2 linked regions of the Lonchura striata genome follow. The protein of the gene in region 2 interacts with the protein of the main gene of each other region in a biochemical or structural test. Links are inferred from orthologs where the notes say so. Each region holds a gene or a part of one and is shown on either strand. Other genes may lie near its edges.

Evidence for each region.
Region 1: the proteins of ANGPT1 (region 2) and TIE1 interact in a biophysical measurement, tested with the Homo sapiens proteins (2 studies listed by BioGRID and IntAct, with this or other methods). The link is inferred for Lonchura striata from reciprocal best matches to the Homo sapiens genes ANGPT1 and TIE1.

What each region holds. Positions count from the first base shown.
Region 1 is NC_134611.1:15,101,439-15,112,499, forward strand, and holds the start of TIE1 (tyrosine-protein kinase receptor Tie-1), read right to left. Parts: upstream 5,463-11,061; 5' UTR 4,946-5,462; coding exon 4,900-4,945; intron 4,437-4,899; coding exon 4,149-4,436; intron 785-4,148; coding exon 674-784; intron 567-673; coding exon 411-566; intron 320-410; coding exon 188-319; intron 1-187. Other genes in the region: C9H1orf210 (type III endosome membrane protein TEMP), read left to right, coding at 8,646-8,735, 10,546-11,053. UniProt on the Homo sapiens protein: Transmembrane tyrosine-protein kinase that may modulate TEK/TIE2 activity and contribute to the regulation of angiogenesis.
Region 2 is NC_134603.1:18,763,048-18,773,584, reverse strand, and holds the start of ANGPT1 (angiopoietin-1), read right to left. Parts: upstream 4,641-10,537; 5' UTR 4,213-4,640; coding exon 3,916-4,212; intron 1-3,915. UniProt on the Homo sapiens protein: Binds and activates TEK/TIE2 receptor by inducing its dimerization and tyrosine phosphorylation.

The sequences.
Region 1 (11,061 bases), on a different chromosome or scaffold from region 2:
CAACTCGAGGAGACATGGGACCCATGTGGATCCTCCAGCCCCCGCCCAGAAACAGACGGCACTGAGGGCGGGGAGGCGCTGGGGATGAACACGGTATTTCTAGACACAGTGCCCAGGTCTAGGGGTGCAAGAGAACCCCCGCATATGCCCTGGGCACAGCACCCACAGCTGGGCAGGTGGAACGCACCTCTCTCGCAGCGGGTGCCCATGAACCCTGGAGGGCAGATGCACTCGCCAACGTGGTCATGGCAGATGCCGCCGTTCAGACAGTCGGGACAGTCCTTCTCACAGGATGGTCCCCATTTCTTTGCAGGGCAGGCTGCAGAGAGAGCAGAGGGGTCCAGAGTGCCACCTGCTGCAGCACAGGGTACGGCTGTCCCCAGCCCCCAGGCAGCCAGGGCCCTGCTCACCTCTCACGATGAGGCGGTAGAAGGCACTCCACAGAGGGCTGTCCCCCATGAATGTGGCACTGTAGACACCGTTTTCGCTGACACTGACATTGGGGAGTGTCAGGACGACATGGTCATCCTGCACCTCACCCCGGTCTGTGGTTTGGTAGTAGGTACCTGCAAGTGGACACAGGGTTATCTGTAACCTCCCGTGCCCCCTGGGCCAGCACCAGGCACCAACTGGGAGCAGCTCCAGCCCTGTCTCTGCTCTTGGAACTACTTGCCGTTTCTTTTCCACATAACATCTGTCTCCTTCCTCTTGAGGATCCTGGCAGAGAAGGTGGCCACCTCAGCAACATTCACAGACTGTGTGGCCTTCACTGGGAAGAGGTGGGCTGCAGAGGAGGAGGCACAGATTGCACAGTGGTCAACCCTTGAGGACACTCACATCCAAAGGCAGTGCTGACACCCTTAGACCAGTCACATCAGGGCACACCCTGACATGTTTCTGCTGGAATGTCATGATACATCTGCCTCTCCACTTCATGCTGGACCCAGGACCCCCCAAGCCTCTGCAGGAACAGGGCTCCCTTCCCAGTCCCTTCAGGCAGACACCAAGGAATGGGATTTGGCACCCTGCCCTCTGAACAGCCCACCATTTGCACAGGATGCTGGTGGCAGCAATCTGGGAAGGTGACATCTGGAACAAGTGTGCATGGTGTACCCTGCCTGCTGGTGAGGTGTGGAGTGCTGCAGACAGGGAAAGCTGGGCAGGGGAGGGGAATTAAGTGTGCAGGACGCTGCACTCCAGTCCCCAAGACAAGCAGCCCTGTAATGGCTGTTTTCCTGATTCCCCAGGTGCTGGGGTGTGCAGCACCAATGAACTGAAGTATTAATGTGAGTCAGCCAGACCCCAGCCTGAGCACAAACAGGGTTATAAATACCTTAAGGCCTGGGAAACCAAGCCCAGGGCGTGCCAGGACAGACACAAAGGAGGACCCAGGCGGCTGCTGGCTTTTGGAGCCTGGCAGTACTCCAGCTTGCACACACTAAAAGGAGCCACGCCGGGTTGGAGCTAAAACACATCCAGCCCTGTGTCCTGCCCCTCTGAGGCCAAGGACCAGGAGGAAGCAGCACACACCACAGACGCCTAGGGAAGGGCACCGCAGGTCACACTTGGCAGTAATTTCCCAGACTTTTCTCCCCTCCTATCCCTCTAGTTGGGATCTTTCTTCCATGGACTTTGAAGCCTGCAGTGGTGGGACCACAGATATGGCCCTCACTCAGTTTCACTCCACCTCACTCCCTGGAACGAAAGGTGACATTTCCCTGGGGACCCCCAAACACAACACTTTGCATTTGTGCACACTGATTTACCTGTCACTGCATCACTGCAGCCCTCCCAAACTGCATCTCTCCCCCATCTCTCTGTCACTCCATGGTGCATCCATCATCTCCCCAGGCAGCTTGGGGACAGCAGCCAGCATGGCTGCTTGTTCAGCTCTTTGCACCCACAGCTGGTGATATAGGTCCATGCAAAGACCTTGTGCCATGCCAGTGGGAACTCCCTCATGTGACAAGGCCTGCTCCTACTCCTAATCTCCCTTTTTATAGTCTGTTATTTACCCACGAAAAGACCTCTCCTACCACCCCCTGGGTGCAAAGTTTCTCTCAAAGAACCTCTGAAAAGGAGTTTTCCCAGTTTTCTCCTGGCATTTGAGCAGAGAGTATCAATTTGGTCTTCCACAGCATCCTCACTGCTGCTGCCCCAGAGACCCTACCACTGCAAACTCAGCTGCCTCTTTCTCAGGGAGCACACCACCACATATTCTGCTCTTTATTACACTTTCTGCTAATTTGCCAGGTTCTGACTCAAGTTTTTAGTCCTGTAACTCCCTACCCAGAAGTTTTAAGAGAGAATAGTTTCACAAGGGCAGCAACACAGCCTTGCTCACCGCATGCCCAGCCTGGCAATGTCTTGCTGCTCTGTTCTGCTATTCATCATCTGTCTCCTGCTAACAACAGTGGCATTTTAGACAGACCCCCCAGCATGTTTTCTCAAATCCTCTGTTGTGCACACAGATACAAAAATTTTTAAAACACTGTTTTTTCTACAGTTGTTTTTCTGGGTGTCTTTCTGCTCTGGAAAGTGTAGAAGATAGTTTATTGACAGATTTAAACACTTCTGAAATTACTTCTCAGGATCTCTTTGGTTTTCTTTACTTTGTTTTTTCAGCAATGCTTCCAAAATTTATCAAACTTCCTAAGTTCTTCTCCATGCATGACCTTTTGGGAGCTGCCAGCTTTCCTCTAACAGCATTCCCCACCCACTGTTTAATCACCCTAGCTGCTTTGGTCAGTTCTCTCAGGCTAAACAGGAGAGATGGCACGCACTCTTCAGTGGGTTCTGTATCCAGCCCTCCTGCAAACATGTATATTTTTTGTTTACAAAGTCCCTTATTTTTTAAAGTCCTCCTCTAAACAGAGCAATAGAAGCTTCTTTGGAACTTGTGAGAGAGACACCTTTTTGGCACTTGTAACTCCCCTGTGGGGCTCCTCCAAAGCACTATTTTAGCCTGGCTAAGTGGAGTCAGGAGCGGGGGCTGACTGAGAACACCCCACCATGGGAAAAACTGTCCCAGGGATGGAGCCCCAGAGCCATCACCTTCACCCATGATTTATAAACAAGGACATCTTGGGGTGCAGAAATCCCTCCGTGCTCCTCACCCCACACTGCTGGTTGTGTCTCCCACACTGTCTCTCCATTGGCCTCTGCTCCATTCCTCAGTGCCACCCTGCTTGTTCAGACAATCCAGCTCCATTTCCACAGGACCACAGTCATTTTTCAACTTGAGCCTCTTTACAAGGACAAAAGCTGAGCCCTGCTCCCTGCTCCCTGGGGGATGCTTAGGCCTCATCATCAGCCTCTGTGCCTCAGTGTGGAGACACTTGATCTCCTCGCTGAAGCTGTGTGCTTAACCCAGGCAGGGAAACTTGTATCCCCTCCTCTTATTCTCAGCGAAAGGTCAACTGTTTTAGCTAGACTTTCTAAAAAAGAGCTAGAAAGCATCCTGAGGCAAACATCTCAGAAAGTTTCAGTCCTAATAGTTTTGCAAAGTCTCAAGGACAGGGAGGGGAGGTCAGAGGGGCAGTGTGGGAGAGTGCTGCAGTATCCCTGCTGCTGGTCAGCCCAGGGAGGCCTTTTCAATTTTTATGGCCCAAAACAGGAGTGGGAGACGAGCCCAGCATTGCTCTTGGCTGCAGTGTGGTCTGCCAGTGCCTCTCAGCAAGCCTTACTGCTGGAACAGAGGTATGTTGCCCCGGGATGGTGTTTGTCCAGCACCTGGGGCGACTGCCAAAGATATGCCCCAGCACTACCTCCTCCCCTTGAGCCTGTGGTGGGGGCATGGGCTGGCACAGCTCCAAAGGGCTGGCCCCTGCTCTGGTTAATGATTTTCAGACCCTACAACCTCCTCCAAGGGCACTCAACTTCCTCTTGGACCTTGCCCTTGTCCCAAGCCTCATTATAAATACAGACGGCTCCTCCATGGGGCTCAACCATGCTCCTCCAGCTGAACATCCTTTCCACCTCCCATCTCCACTCCACCAGTGCTGGTGGACCCCAAACCTAGCTTATGGGTCACCACTGTCCCCACACCAGCCTGGCTGGTGCTGGGATTGTGAAGCACAGGGCAGGCAGGTTTCCTGTGCACCCGACTGGCAGGCGAGGGCCTCCTGCTGCCCCCAAAAGCCACTCACCGTTGTGGCTGTTGTGCACATAGACCACCTGGGCCTGCTCGGTCGGGGTGCGCCCCAGGCAGTAGAGGATCCCCACCAGGTCAGCCTTGGAGAAGCCCCTGGCCTGGACTTGGTTGCTGCGGTTGCGATAGTTTTGGAAGCCCATTTTAGGGTGTGTCATCACGATCTTGTTCTCCCGCTCGATCTGCAGGTAGCTCACGTCGTGCTCCCCCACGACACAGGAGAGGAAGAAGTCAGAGTGGGACAGGCTCTGCACGTTGGCGATCAGGGTGATGTCCAGGATGGCCCCTGGGGTGAGGGAGCACAAGGGTGTGTCACAGCTCCACAAGAGCATGGCCACACCAGCCCTGTCTCAGGGCCAGATCCTGTCACCCAGATGTCCCCCCCTTTCCAGGACATTTTTGCCACCCTCAGCCCAGAAGGCACAGATTGGGCAAAGCAAGGTACATTGCAGACACATTGGGATGACACAGCATGCATTTCTGCTCTCCTTTTGGAGACCCCAGATGGATCAATTCCCCCGCATAAGCCAAGCATGCATCAGAACAGGGGTCTTGGGGTGCTTCTCCTCCCATGTCAGAGAGGCAGCCAGGGGCCTCTGAGGGCTCCAAATGGCTGATCACAAAGGGACATTTCCTCCCTCCCTACCCTGTTCCGATGGCGCCGCTGAGCTTCCACAGCTGCCTCGTCCCACCAAGCCGCCCTGAGGCAGGGGCTGCTCACTTGAGGCAGATGAAAAGGAGCAATTTACCTGCCAGATGTGGGAAGAGAAGTAGAAGATAAAGCCGGAGTCCCATGTCCTAGGAGCTTGTTCCAAATCTGGCAGAGGTCAGAAAATCTCCAGCATTTCCTGGCTACGGAGGTCAGAGCTGGAGGCTGTGTCTGCCTAGGAGCTCTATGTGAGCAGCAGCTCAGGTCCAGTGCTCCCTGCCCGTGGTCCCCATCTCTTCTCCATGCTGTTGCTTGACTTCCAGGGCAGCTGGGACAACCTCCTTTGGTGCATAGCCTGGACACGGACTGCGAGATGCCCTGTTTCTGCTGGCTCCTTGGCCAGCCAGCTGCTCAGGAGCAGGGCTTGCTGGCCAAGGGGCCACTGGGGTCCCCTGCCTGGTGGCAGCTCTTCCAGAAAAAGGCACCAGTCCACCCCTCCAGGGCTAGGGCTGCGTGCTCAGGGTTCCCTGAGCCATGCTGAGGCCCTAGCCCAGGCAGGAGGTGTCCCGACCCTGCTTTTTGTCCAAGGTTGAGTGCCTCATGCCCCAGCCCGCCCGGGCGGCGGCATCCCCATCCCCTCGGTGCAGCCCCGTGGCTGATGGCTGTGGGAAGGGCTCTCTGGAGCAGGGAAAGGAAAGGGGCCAAGGGGCCGTGGCCGGCTGGCGGCGGCGGAGCCAAATCCTGTTTCCCATGCGGCGTTTCCTGCTCTCCACCCATTGTTCGGAGACGGCCCTGACTCCAGGAGCCGTCGGGAGCAGCCCTGCACGGGTGTCCCCCGGGGAGCGGCGTGCGGCGGGGCTGAGGCCACGCACACCTCGGGGCGCCTCAGCCTCCCGCCGCCACGGGCGGGGTGCGAGGGCCAGGCTGGACCCATCCTGCAGGGGCCCGTCCTGGGGACACCGTCCGGCTTGGAAGGGGCCGAGTAGGAGCCCCGGCAGGGTGCCAACAATCTGCCCAGCTCACACAGGAGGGTGGCCACTGCCCAAGGAGAAAACCCTGTGGTTTGTGGTAAACATGTCTGGGAGGAAGGGGAAGCAGGAGAAAGCCTGGCTTTCCCTGAGCACTTTCCCATGCACAGTGCTGGCATGGGCACAGCACAGCATGGCCTTGCTGCAGCCCAACCCGAGTGTCTCACACCCACCATGGAGCCTGTGCCAGCCCCCATCCGGATCCAGGCTCTTTGCCTGGCAAACAAAAAGCATTCCCCGGGAAATCACCATACGCTTCATGCACCAAACTTCACACTGCTTCACAAACCAAACTGTTCCCATGTGAAAGCCAGCGCTGCCAGGCAGTGAATCTCATGTTTTGATGTGTCCTGGGCCCATGCTGTATCCGGCCAAAAATCTAAAGCACACATGGAGAGGAAAGGGAAATCCATTCATCGCTTCCGGCTATTTACAGAGTGCTCTGGGGCCGCACAGTGCCCATGGCATGCTGAGGGAGGGATGGCAGTGAGCAGGGGCTCCCACAGTGCAGCTGCCTGGCCACCCCACAGCAGGAGGGGTGGAGAGGATCTGAAAAAGGTGGACACCAGGTGCAGCTGCCCTCATTTGCCTGGAAAATGAAGCTGTCTGTAGAGGCCAGTCAGGCTCAGAACTGTGTGCTTATGTGCAACTCATTCCATGCTTCCCTGGCAGCTGTGGGGGAGCACATCACACAGAGCCCGAGTTACAGTGCACTCTGTGAAATGCCTTCTTTCAGGAGGATCCATTTGAGAATGGGATTATTTGCACAGATTTTTTTGCATAATGGGAGCCACGTGGGATCATTCTCAACACCAGACCATACCAGATCTCAGGGATCCATTGAGGAATCTGACCCAATGTGATTTGTTTGCTTGTGTTTTTGTCTAGGAGTACCTGGATAAGAGCTGTGCTGTCTTTCTGTGCAGATTCCTTCAGGTGGAGGTAGGGTAGGAAACCTTTCTGGGGAGTTTTGTGGCCAGTCAGGATCTTACACCTCCGGTTTATCTCTCTCCAGAGAAGACACCAGAGAGATAGGCACAGCTGAAGCAGCTCTCCACACTTGCTCTCCTGCAACATGGAAAGCTCCAGTTGCCCAATCCATAGGAAACTCCAGGCACCTGAATATCTGCTGATTCCATGATCCTCAGCTGAAGCACAACAGAATAAAAAAACAACAAAAAAACCCCAACCAACCAAACAAAAAAACCACCACAAAAACAAACAAACAAACAAAAAAAAAAACCAAACCAAAAACCCCAAAGAATGACAAAAATATCACTTTTTGTTATCATTTGCACATTCTAATGCATAGCACCACATGCCAGAAACCATAACACACAGATACATTTCCTGATAGGAAATGCAACCGCCCTGCAGATGCACCAGTGGACCGAGCTGCCTCAACACTTTCTAGCCCTACTTCTCTGGATGCTTGTTTTATTTTATGTGCTCAGCAGGTCCTGGGGAGGCCCCACAAGGCTGGGTTAAGGACTGATCCCACCAGGCATAGGAACATCCTGGAAACTGGGTAGTTGAGCATCCCCAGCCCGCCTGGGCAGTTGGGAAGCAGGAGCTGCCTGCTGCGTTGGCATCCAGCACATGCCCACAGGATGAAGGACAGGCTGCTGGGAAGCGCTTTCCCTGAGGAAAGGGTGGGACGTGCGGCTGTGGAGGAGCCCTTTGGCAGCTGGGGGAGGAGAGGCCGTCCTGTCCCAGCTGCTGACAGTTCCAAAGTGCTCTTGCTGGCAATCGGCTTCCTGACGCTGAGCAGGCGTGGGACCAGGGAATGGGGAGCAGGGAAGAGCTTGGTGCTCCCTCTTGCTGCAGAGGCAAAGCCAGGAGCAGGTGTAGCCAGTTCTTTCCCTGCCTGGCCTGTGGCTCTGCCAGCCTTGCCCACTCGCCCGCCCCATCACCCGTGGTCACAGGAGCAGGTCTGGTGTGCCAGCAAACACCCATGAGATGCTGCTTTGACATGATTTCTCAGACTTTCACTGACTCCACAGCAGGATTGGAAGGGAGAACTACTGTTAAGCGGCAGGTCTGTGTGGGGCGTGCCGAAGGTGGTGGGGCACTCCCATCCTCTGGGACCTTCATGGCCAGGTGCTGTTCACTGCGCTGCTGCTGCTGGGCCCGGAGACCTGCCAGTTTGCTGCTTGCTTTAAACACCTTTCTGCTGGAATCCCAGCAAGACTTTTGTTTTCCTGTAGGATACTTTCCTGCTGCCTCAGCCCAAGTTCCCCGGCCAGGACTGGCTGTGTGCCCCTGTCCCAGGTGCATGGACCAGCAGCCGGACCCGGCTCAGGCTGCTGTCCTCCAGCGCGGTGTCTCAGGGCAGATGCCACAGACACAGCGTCCCCTCCTCTGTCTGGAGGCCCCCAGCCCGTCCCAGGGTCCTGCTGCCACGCCGGCAGCCCCCACGGCACCCCAGACAGCAGCAGGCGGTCCCGGCCACCGATCACGGGCGGCACAGGGCTGGGAGGTGATGGGCGCGGCTGTTAATGTGTAACCGGGACCGCCACCTTTCACCGGCTCGGGAGGAGCGGGGCCGGGGCAGCGGGCCCGGGGCATTGGGGCCGGGGCATTGGGGCCGGGGCCGCGGGGCCGGGGCATTGGGGCCGGGGCATTGGGGCCGGGGCATTCCGGCCGGGGCATTGGGGCCGGGGCAGCGGGGCCGGGGCCCGGGCGCTGCCGGCGTGCGGGACTCGGTGCGGCCCTGAGCCGGGCGGCCGCGCCACACCTCGTCCGGCACGGCCGGCTCTGCCGGCTTCCCAGCTTTCCCCGAGACTTGTTTTTCTGGCCGGAAGTTTCCTGGAGCCAAATGGCTCCTACCTGCCTGCTCTGCTGGGTGTGTGGCCTCCTCTGCGTCTGGTCAGTGGTGATGGGACACCCCTGCAGCCTTGACCACCAGGTAGGGGGGCCGTGGGGGCTGCGGGTGGGCAGGGCCCCCGCTCCGGGTCCTGCCAGCACAGCTGGGGTGCCCACGGGCGTGGCAGGCAGCTCCTGCTCTGCACAGCTCAAGAGAAGACGGGAGCCAGCGGAGTTAATTGAGAGATGTGCTGTGCCAGCCACAGGGGTGGTTTGGCCATACCCCAAAGCCTGTCTGTCCTGCTCCCAGCCTTGGGCTGAACATGTCATGTTGTCCAGCCTGTTCACCAGAGCATGGCCTGGCACAGCATTGTCTGAGTCATGGCGTTTCTGACTGTGGGGGTCTCTTGGCTGCAGGCGTAACACAGCTGCCCATAAGGGGTGCATGGCAAGCAGCCATGAGTCACATCCCTGAAGATGTCCCAACCCCTCACTCCTTTCCCCAGTGCATGGTGATGCAGTGACTGCAGCCAGGGTGATTGGCAAGCCTGGGGCTGGGATCCCTGAGCACCCAGAAAGGAGCAGGAAACACAACTAAGCTGCTGGGACAAGCACTGCAGCCAGCAGCTTGGCTGCATCAGGCAGGAGCTGAGGGAATGAAGGAAACTGGCTGTCATGGGCCACTGACCTTTCCACTGATCTCTCAGTTATTCCACCCAAAGGTTTGCACTGTTTTCCAAAGCCTCCCTCAGCCCAGCTGTGTTTGAGCTGGAAACAGGACCCATGTGATGCCCCTGTGGCTTTGCCCAATTATAAGCCGGTCCTCAGCACCCCAGGTTTTAAGGGTATATCTGTTCCTCTACCAAGCAGGAACAGCAGGGTCTGATAGGAGATTTAGGTGGACAGGAGGATGAAAGGAGAGGTAAAATAAATGAAAAGCCCATCTAGCGGGAATATAGCCAGACACAGAAACCCAGGACCACAGTAAACTTGCAGCCCAGCATCTCTGCTTGCGAGGTCCAAACACAGCACTTAACAGGAGCTTGTGCCTGCCCAACCAAATTTAAATTTCTGACTTGCTCTCTGTCTGCTTCAGTTTGGACATTTGACCCCTTCCCACTAAAAGCCCAGGCAAGAGTAACCCATGCTGGGGACTGCTACCCAAAACTATTTGAGTTGAGGCACCCTGTTTTACTGGTAAAAAAAAAAATCCATGTGGGTTGACTGATCCTTCCATCCTGCTCTGCTGGTATTTGAGACAGTGAATGGTCCTTGGCCTTTTTGTTTCCTAATACTGACACAGCCAGCTAGCATTAAGCGACAGCCACACACAGTGTATCCTCAGGAACGTGGGGTAGATGAAAGCATTGGTGCACTGTCCTGCACAGGTCCCAGGGAGCTGTTCCTAGCCTGGGTGACTGGTACAGGTGCCTACAGCTCTCCAGCCTGGTCAGCTTCCTGCCAGGCAAAGCTCGCCTGCTTCCCTGCTCCAGCTGGGAGGATGCCCCTGTGTCACACAAAAGCTCCCAGGGGGCTGGAGGTGGGGATCCAGGGTAGGAAAAGGAAGGCCCTCTGCAAACTGACCCTGTATGACAACTGCCCTGTACGGAAGGACAGGGGGGTGACAACCTGCTGCCTTCTCACTCATCCACTTGGGCTCTTCCTCCAGCCCTGCATGCTCCTCCTATGCTGTTTCAGTCAGCTGCTCTCAGTCCTGGGCTGTCCTCCTCACCTTTCTCTATTTATCTAGGCCCACTCCAGTCTGGCAGCTCATGTGCTTTTTAAATGTGTGTGTGTCTTTGCTTATTTTAAACTCTGCTGGGTAATTAAGATATTTGAACTTTTGAGGAGTCTCTCTCTAGAGACACTCCCCATCATGGATAGCCCATCTCAGACAGTAGTTCTTTTCCCAGGGATGGGCCAATTGCAGTGGGAAGAGCCTTCAGCATGCTCCAAGTTCCCTTCCAGGAAACATCACCAGTTTGGACCTCTCCTTCAACTCCTTGGTCATGCCCCATCACAGGACTCTCTTGAAGCATTTCCCTTCTCTGCACTCTCTCAACCTCTCCAGCAATGCCAAGCTTACGCTGAGCCCAGCAGTCTTCTCCAACCTTGGAGCACTGCATCTGCTGGACCTGAGCAGCTGCAGCATCACCTACATCCACGTGGACACTTTCAAGGGTCTGGGAAACTTGCACACACTGCTTCTAAGAAACAACAGCTTGCAAAAGCTTGATGTCCCTTTCCTTTTGCCACTGAAAGCTCTTTTCCATCTGGACCTGCAACACAATGCACTGGTCTCTGTGGACACTTGGAGCCTGCAGCTGCTGGAGACAGTCCCATGGGTCCATCTGGAAGGGAACCCCTGGGTCTGCAACTGCAGCGTGCACCCTCTGCAGCAGTGGCTGTGGCGCAGGCGAGGTGAGTGG
Region 2 (10,537 bases):
TATTATGTGAACTTTTAGGTCACATGTGATATTGCAACATAATATGAAATGAAACATAATTATAAATAAAATGGAACTTTTAACATTTCTTGTGATAGTTCAACTCCTGAAAATTGGTTTCTTAATATGAAAAAATTTTCACACCCACACAGTGACCATCTCCATCTTTATATTAACATAAATTTGCCTTATAGGACATGAATACAGCTCTTTAGATCTGTACTGCTCAGGGTAGGCTCTGTCACATTTTCACTCAGCTTACTGTGTCATAATTCCACTCTGCTTCACAGCAAGAGTGACAGGAAAGGGATTTTCCCATCTTCAGCAAACTATATAAAATCCAAGGCAAAAATCAGCTATTATATTTTATTGCAGAAAACAGTAGATAAGCCCTGATAGTAAAGACAGCACAAAGGGGCAGACTTTCAGTGGAGCCACAGCACACAGTGACAGACGCTGGTCTTTCCAAATTCCATTTGTTTCTACATAATGGATGGCCTCCTCAAAAACTAGACCCCTTACCTGTTTAAAACCTAGGTGGGCACTTGTGTTGTTACTGTTGCAAAATAAGGAAGTCAAGAAAGACCACAAAAATAATTTAGTATATTTATTCTAAGAATGAACTTTTGACTATCAAAGGGTTACAGATATCCCAGAAAAACCGTTCATCATTTCTTTCTTTAATGATTGTAGCTGATAAATAACAGCACGGGCACTTTGAAGGGAGAGGAAGTGAGTGGAAGCTGCCCTTTTTTTTTTTTTTTTGGTCTATCTACCTTCTTGTAATACTTGTATGTGTTAGCTTCTAATTATATACTTTTATAGGTTTTATGGTACTCTGCTTATATAATGAGAGAGAAGAAAAGAAGCAGTAGATCATGTAAAACTCACTCATTACTGTTATAACAATTATTACCACCATTTAGATGTCAGGAAAACTATATGGAACACTCATCTATAGAGCTATCCTGAATGTACACTGAGTCCACCAATACTGTAAGCTCAGCAAGCCAACAGCAACTTCCTAAGCAAGACATGATGATAACATTTCATGTAACTCCTCTTTGGCAATACTTAGACACTGCAACTAAATACCAAAGAGTGTCACGTGAGCCAGTCAGTAACTGCAAGAAAGAAAATGTGATGAACTGTTTGTTTTGAACTATCAGTATAAACATATTGCAGAAATGAAATCCAAGCTTAAACAATGGGGAAAGCTATCCGGTATTAAAATAAACAGTTCTAGGAAAATCTCTAAAAATGTTTACCAAGTCATCTTCTTCTGCAAAGTTTCTGTGCAGAGCATTTTGCCATGTCCCTGGTTTGTCAACCAACCCCACTTACACTGATTATAGATATGCAAATTATAATGGACAAGGCTGGGCCTTAATTGCCTATAATTGGCTTCCCAAGCAAGGGCATTTTTATCCACAATCAAGTTTGTAGGTCATCAAAGAAGCAATTTTGCATTAAGAAAAAAAAATTACATTTTTTACAGAAAAGTATATTTGTTTTGGTTCTAAAAATCTGATAGTTTGGATATTAAATAACAATTTTAAATTAAAATTTAAGCAAGCCATGATTCTTACAAAATTTTGCAGTAAGTATTTTTCAAATATCACGGGGAGCATTTGTGCTTAGAAAATAATTCACTTTGCCAAGCACTGCCTATGTAATTTTTTATTGAAAGCTATATATATGACCTGAAGTAATAAGCATAACTCCTTTGCCTATGTCAGACTATTTCTAAAATTCTTAAACATTATTTCTGAGTATAAGTATTCTCTTCCAGTGAAAGACCTGCAGTGAAAGACCTGCAGCTGTTAATTATTCTTTAGTTTATTCACAGCAGGTGCATTGTAAAATGCTGCCTAGTGTAGAAAGTTTAGGGGAAAAATAAATGCAGAGTATAAAAATGAGATGTGAGATACCTACATTATATATTCATTACACTTGAGAATTATGCAGGTTTTGAAAGGAAATGAGTTATGGCTGAGATGCTTTGTAGTGGCAACAGCAACAAAGCAAATTCAGTATTCAGAGATGCTATAAAGGAGCTGCATCAGCCTCATTTGTTCAGAGTGAGACATGGTCCTTCACAAGAGAAACAGGTCCTTTCATTCCAAGAGCTGACACATGGAGATACATGCATAATCCCAGTTTTATGCTAACCCCTGGGAGCAAGGCACTGGGGGCTGGGAGGGAAAGGAGGAGGGGAATAGTTCTGCCCTCAGCCGGTTTTACAACCATTGCAGAAGAAAACAGGCCTAATATAAATCCCTTTCACTGGGCTTCCTACCTGTTTAATCACTTCCCTCCAAAGTGTGAGAGGACTAACCCTCAGACATCCACACTCCAGAGACTCATATTTCCTCATGATCACTGTTGAAACAGTGATCTTAGTTCAGTCTCTAGTGGACAAACACAGAATAAGTCTTAGAAGCATGATTCAGCAGGCAATTTCCTCAAGTAAAATCATATGTGTATAAAAACAGAAAACAACTTTCCTCTTTTTAGTGCTTGTCTCAGCCTGCCAAGGCACAATAAAATAGTTTCTTTTCCTCTACATAAAACATCCGCTTATTTCCAGCCCTATATTCCCCCAAGGCATATCAAGACATTAAAAAATGAGAGAAGTAGTCTGAAAATTAAATGCTTGGTTATGTTTTCTATACAGAATCTCTTCTCTCTTGCTATGGCCAGATATGCAAGAGAACAAATAATTTATCAAAAACTCTAAAAATTCTAGTAGAGTTAGGTGGGTGAGGGACCAGTATAAGCTTTTTAACATATTTATGTCATATGCACTGTGTGGATGAAAGAAAACTTGTAAATGAGATAGGTTAGCAGCAACTGTGCTAATATGAAATTTCAGCCCACCTAGTAGAGTTAGAGTTTTATTGATGTTCATTCTTAGTATGAACCTCAGTTGGAGTTAAATACTGCATCTCTTGAATGGGTACATACAGAAGTTTTCTCGTACCAGATTACATGACTAGTTCCATCACTCAGTCGTGCAATTTTCTAAGTTTTGCCAGGTCAAAATGGCAGCATGTGAATGGGAATATCACAAATAGCTATATATACAGACTGTTTATTTATTTTAACTGGTCATCTACTCCAAACCATTTTCTTTACAAAGGTATGGACAATATCTGTGCAAGACATGTAATTTTACACATGTAAGTAATCATGCTAAGGTAACTAGAACTGCTCATATTTAAGCCTTTCAGACCCAAACTTCATAAAAATAATTACTTCTATTAAGTTACTGCAACACCTTGAAACCCATTTTCCCCTTTCTAGGAAAGAATGCACATAGATAAACACAAATTGAAGCAGGCTGTCAAGACCAGTGTATTCAACATGGCAAAAAATGTTTACTGTGAAGTTTTAGAAGTGTGAATGTCTATATATTTTCCATTTTTTTTTCTAGGAATCAGAGGGGTAGAATAGTACTACAGGACCTGTTTATGGAGGAACAATGATATTCTTAACCCAGTGCCCTTAAATGCTGATTTTTTTAAATGCTCCCTTTTGCTGTCACAGTAGCAGGTATCCTGCATGACATCTGAGCTGAATCTGTGAACTATAAGTAGAGCTTATAAGAACTTCGTATGCTCTGTCAGTAGAGTCTCTGGAGGATTTCTGTGTCCTCCGACTCACACGCATCCATACTTTCTTGAAAAAAAAGCCTTAAGAAGTCACATCTTTCAGTGAAGTGAAGAAAATTCAGCTCCCAAAAGCAATGTCACTAGCAAGGGTGCACTCCGGCTAAAATATTTCTTTCCTACACAGCCAAGAACTGTATCAATCCTTATTACTTCTGTTCTCATAGAAACTAACAAAAACTTTGAACAGCATAAACATTCCCCAAAAAATCATTTAGTGAGAAACAAAAAAAGAAGCACTTACTTTTTGCAGCCACTGAGTGTAATTTTCCATCACATGTTCCAGATGTTGCAGTTTCTGGGAAGAGAAATCCTGTTCCACGTGAGGAGCATCTCTCTGAAGAGCATTTGTGTTGTACTGGTCTGTTGTGCTTTCACGACAGTTCCCGTCCTGTTCCGGCAGAATGAAAGTATAGGTGCACTGCCCGTGCTGAACCCGGTTAAATCTTCTCCCACTGCCTTCTGAACCCCGACGCTGGTTAGAACAGCCTACAAGAGCAAGAATCATTGCCAGGAAAGCAAAGGAAAAGAAAACTGACATGTTATTTTTACTTTCCTTTCCTGCTTTAAGAAAAACTTTTTCTTCCTCTTTCTTTAAATTTGTTCTTAATTTGCCTTAAAGTCTTTGGAAAAAAGAGCGGAGCAGCACACTTTAACAATCAAGCTTGGATAAACTGCTTTTTTTTTTTTAATTTCACTGTGAGGATAGCTTCCTTAGTTAAAATTGGGAATATTTATTGCATAGTAGCTAAGATTTATTGTTTCCTTTCTGTTACAGTCCAGCATGTAGCTTGCTTTAGTCAGCTGCATATGCATATCCCAGTCTCTTTCCCCTACACTATCTGCTGCAGAACTGCTATTTTCTCTCAGGCTTCAGTGAGTTTTATTAAGGTTGCACTTTCAAGCCAAGCTGGAAGCAAGCAGCCTTTCACAAGATGACTTGACAGGAATGCGTGTATGAGTGCGCCCCTATGCTAAGGATGGCTGATGGCTCACTACAGAGGGATCATCTTACAAACTGGCTGGATGCATGACCTCAATCATGCATGTCTGCCCAGCCCCTGCTGCACACAACTGCTGGGGGCTTTGGGAAAATTCACGTAAGTTTAATAAGTCAGTCCACCTTAATAGGCTTCATATGTTCGCACTGACCTATTAAAATGTAGATAAAGTGTAGAAGTTTGTTGTAATCCCTCTGTAAATATACAAAGCAGTGAAATTAAAAATACTTTCAGTTCTGCTCTGCACTGTATCTATTAAAGAATTCTAGGTTGGGCTTATGACACTTACAGGAAAAAAAGTTAAGTTTAACCCTCACTAGGTTTATCTAATTTTCTAAGATTGTTGTGTTTTTTTAACAGTTTTCAGAGAGCTGTTTTACATCTTATATTGAAATTAGAGTTGCCAAATAGTAATGGCAAAAGGCAGTTCAGAAGGATAATAATTTTCTGTATTAGGTATCTAAATGAAGGTAACTAATTAAAAAACAGTGAGAGATGGTGACTGATCTATTCCAGATTATCTTCTGTACCACTGCATAGTTATCACTTGCATTAACACCAATTTGCAAGTCTGGTCTATACAGGCACCCTATGATACATGCAGAAACTTCCTGTGGGGCAACTTCCTCAGAATAAGGCTGTGGTAATTGCTTAAGAAACTATCTTAAATTGTCCTATATCTTTGGTAGACAAATAAAAAATGTACAGATTACAAACAGGACTGGAATATTCATGAAATTCAGAGGAATTTGGATCTGAGTTCCTGCACTAGTATCTGTTGTTGTTAAATAAATATCAGCCAAAACTAATGTAGAGCACTTTGCACAATATTTCCCACAAAAGTAAGTAATCTTCTAAACAGTGATAGTGCATCACTAAAAAAAAAATCAAGGAAACCTACTTGCACAAATACTGAGTGACTGAGTGCAAACAACTTCAGTGCTCGTGTAATTGTGACCTATATCACAACTACCATGTCATTCTAAAAGACCTGCCTGAAATATTTAGCCAGGCATCTGTCCTGTTCCTATGAAAGCTACTCCTACTCAAACTGCAAAACATCTTGCATCTGGAAAGCAATCACTGCATTTGAACCAATAAGTAATATTCCCTACAATAAAATAGAAAAAAAAAAAGAGAAATTCATGTTGCTCTAAATTTTTTTATATATCCAACATATATATAGAGAGAAAAAAGGGAAGAATACAAAACAAAATGCAAAACATCAATGCTAGTGTTGCTTTGAGCAAAATCAGAACATCCTTCCACCTCTGAACTGTTCAGGCCAACATAGCGCTTGTTTTTCTGCTTCTGAAAACCCTCTTCTTAGTCTGTTTTCTTCCTCGCATACAGGAGTTCTCATAACTCACCATCAGCACCAGAACTAATGCTGCTGTGCTTTTTTAAACTGGCTTTGCAATTATTGTGAAATGTATTTCTGAGGTATTTGCTCATCTAAGATCAGAGATGAAAAAGGAAGAGAACTGTAGGATCAGACACTGAACTGAAGGGCTAGCAAAAAAGCAGCTATTCTCTAAGGCAAAGCAAAAATACCAGAGCAAAAACATGGCAACAATACTTGCTTTTCTTGTAAGTAAAAAAGAGTACTTTATGAAAGGGCCTCAGAGCAGCTGAAAGAGGGATAGCAAAGGTGGGTGTACAAAGGCTTCCTAGATTTTTAGTTGATATTTTCAAATATGAACACACATTTAGACAAATGCCTCATTCATTTTCTTCAGGGCATTTAAGCATCAGATTTATTCACATGCAAATGTGGAAAAATGAGATTGCAAATTTACAATTGATGTTTTTCAGATGAGGATTTCACAGAAGAGCTGGCTCACTTTGTTGCTGTTACATGGCCCCTTCCTGCTGGCTTGAGGTGGCTTCTCCTTCCCCTTCTGTCCCATTCTTCCTGAGGGATAACAGCCATCAAGACCTTTAAGAACCATGCAGGGTTACCAGGTGTCTTTGACATTTGCTTGTTTGCCTCCAGCTTAGCTCCCCACCACAGCACCGGCCCCTCAGACCCCCTACCCCAGGCCCTGAAAGAATGGATCAGGGGCAATGTGCAATTGTCAGGTGTCACTGCAGGGAGATGTGGCAGAGCCATGCAGCAGCCAGAGCATCTCCTACCAGCACTCTGCACTAAGGCTTCTTTACCAGAGAGAATCAACTGCCCCTAGCCATGCACTGCCCACATCTGAGCTGTAGCAGTAGTGCCTCTGAGACATCTTGTGTGTCCAAACACGTGGGGTCTCACACAGAGCCAGGGAAGGGGCTGCAGGAGTCTGCTGGAAGCCCAGGAAACATTCTGTCACTCCTCGTTTGCAGACTTTCTAGCCCACTGGGAGGCACAGAAAAGGACTCATGAATTGTGATGGGATGCACTTAAATATTTTCAAGGGCTCCTTGAAGTGGCAGCATCTGTGTTGGCTTTAGGCTGCTCTGGCTGACCACAGAGTTGGAGCAATTCACCAGGGTCCCTAACTAGAATCACAGACATCCCAGTCCTGTAACACAGGGACCAGCAAGGTCAGTTTGCTGTTTCCCCAGACACACAGCAAAATCATGTTGATAAACACACTGAAGCAAGCAGGCCAGGTTCAGTTTACACACTCCTCCCTGACACACTCATAGTTCCCTGCCTACATAGGCAGCAGTGTAACAACCAATACTGAAAAAAATATTTTCTCCAGATCTACAGATTATTCCATTTAATTCCACATTGCAATTTTATAAGGAATTCCATTTTATCTAAGGACAACAGATTCAGAAATAAGAAGAGTTTTCGTTATCTAAAGTTCCTATTCCTATTGTGTTTTCTTTTTCTTGTCGTAAGCCTCGCTTTTCTTTTTGCTCTTCTTTTCTTTTCATAAATCTTGCTAAATAGTTTCAGTGGTTTGATTCTTATACCTGATTTGATAAATGTACAGTTTATTATTCCAGTACCACGTAGTCTATGTGACATGTCCTAGCTTTGCAAGAGCTGAAAATTTCAGCAAGATGAGGAAAAAATAGTTCTCACAGTTCAGTCAAAGTCACTGTGGGTATTTCTGCAGGATCTTACATTATATCCTACAGATAAAATCTAGATTATTTGCCCAGGATTGCACAGTTGTTCAACCAGAAACTGAGTAGGGATGTGTTTAAAAAGTTCTTTATTTTCCTAAGACCACTTCCTCCATCACAATTATTAGTTTCATGTTCCTTGAACTTTTCCTTCTATGTAACAGTGAAGGGATTGATCCAGAGGCTTCCTTCCCAGACCATGCAAAGTCTCAAATGCATCATTTATTTAGTAGCTATGCAAAATACTGTAGCTCACTATGTAATCAATCTGACAAGGCAAAATAAATGAGAATTCAATATCCAGATAAAGGTTACATTCACATGATATTGGTTCCTACATATCTAGAATTAATGCAATTTAGTGGCTTTTACCAATATATATGCATGATCATAGTTCAATTATAAATTCTTGGAAAACAAAATCTATTTCTCTCTCTTTACATTTCTGCTGAAATACATGTTATTGCTGCAGATGAGTTGCACTAAGGTTGCATCATGTCACACGCAGTACTTGGAATTACTCCAACTCAGCTCCCTTGGTGTGTATGGGAAATCAGTGCAGAGTGGTTTCTGAATATAGCTATAATGAGCAAGATTTTCTATCTCAGTAAACCAATAGTAGAGCTTAAAACTACTTATTCTTAGTGTAGCACATTCCAAAGAACCTCATTCTACATATATAAATTCTAGCAAATAAAATGAGTCTCATAACCCTAACTTGTTATGTGCTAATGCTTCTCCAGTTACTTTGTGGAGATGGCCCCACTTATTCATAGCATACAATACCTGTATGCTTTCTTTCCTTGCTCTCCAGGGAACAAGCAAGTAATCATCTCAGATAAATTCTTCCTCAGGACTAAAGCTTGTATACTCACATGAACATACTTAAGGCATGATCCCACATCATGCTGCTTGCCAGATTCATCCATCAGAGGAACACGGTGATGGGTGCTGAGTCACGCCACAGGCCAGCCCAGCTCTCCCAGGATTTGATTTCACACCTGAGAACAAGTAAACAGCTCTGAGCATTAATAGAGTGGCAAAAAAATAGCTTTTAGAAGAAGACGGTGGCTTATAGAAACATCTGAGTTATGGTTTATGCTGCACAACCTGTCTGAATTTTGTCTCACACAGAAGGTTTATTGGAGACTTTCCAGTATTATGGCAGATAAGAGAGGTAAATTTTTCCTAAAACCTTATTTTCTTGATGTGGGAAAATCAAGCTGTTCTTACATTCATAAGCAATCTGTGAGCTTATGCATGTAGAGACAAAGCACATAGATTACTTCTGATGAACTTGCTCTCACTCCCTGGGAAAGGAGGGAAGGTTACGTCCTCTTGTTATCTGTTTAGGGTAAGATTTGTCCCTTATTTTCAAAATTTCTGGATACTTGAGTTATTTTCAAAGACCAACTCCAACATTATCAAAGAGGATACAGTATATATTACACAGTAATGGAACACATTGAGTATGATATTTCTGTTTCAAAGGCTAAAAATACATGTCTTAATCAAAATGCCTGCTGAAAAGACCAACAGCAATATTCCCCTGTAAAGCCTAGAAACAACCAAAAACCTGCCTGATTTTAAAAGAAAGACATTTTGTATGCCTACAGGCATTCCAGCCCTATCATCTGAAAGTGCCTTCTGTTGCAAGTTAATTGAAAGTGCAGTTTAGTGGAAATTATTTATCAGCAGTGTTGTTTAGTTGAATGATTTATTTATTCTGTGAATTATCTCTGCATCATAATGCTCACCAGGGAAATTACTGGGGACAAACAGCAATCTATTGGTGTGTTACCTTCAGCTCCTGACTCAATTTAACATGTAGCCTCAAGTGCAGTGCTACATGCATGTTCTTGAGGTCACAAGAGGCTTCTTCAAACTCTATGGACTAGCAAATTTTCTTTCCTTTGGAGTCTTAACTCAAATTCCTAAGATTAGAGCCTTCTTTCCTAATGGAAACCAATATTCTGATTCAGGTGCTTAAAAAGCCTTGTTTCTGAGGAGAATTAGCTACATAATTGTTAGAGACACAGAACAAAATATTGGTTGCAAAATCTCTCACATTATCCAAAGAAGAAATAGGAGATCTACCCACTCTTTCTGAGGAGGATAATCCTGTGAGCTCAATATTTCATCTGTATCAGAAAGTTTTTTCCTCATAGGCCTCTTTATAGCCCAGATCTTTCACTTCAGCAACTGCAGCAAAGAGGGAGATGATGCCACTGACAAGGATGGTCAGAGCATTTGGAGGTGAGCCCCAGATATAAATCCTTCTACTGCCTGGTGTGGAGAGACCTGTCATGGTCCTTTTGGGTTTGCGTATTCATAGCAAAACATGAGTTCTTATTCTGATTTATTCTGCTGGTTGAGACACATTAGCCAGACTCCCTATCAACTTTAATGTCACCAACTGCAAAATTCAGTCTTTGCTGTTCTGTGACATATTTAAAATCGAAATGTAAAACATTCTCCTTCACATAGAAAAGGAAGTAAATCCAGGTCAGTTTGCAGTATTTAAGTCCAACAAGAATTTAACTATTTGGCTAAAGTACATTTAGAAAGAATATAAACCTACTACTTCAAACGTAGATAGGTTTTTCTGATTAAGATTGATTTTCCTAAAATTTTTACCTAGAACAGACTTAGATAAAATAATCCACAGGACTAGAATTTTATTGGCTATAATGCTGTGGTAGAAGGTATGAACATCAACTTTTTCCCTTGAGATTTTGTGGAGCTCTGATTAACTTCTACACACTTTTTGAAAAAAGCCAGCAAAGCAAAGGG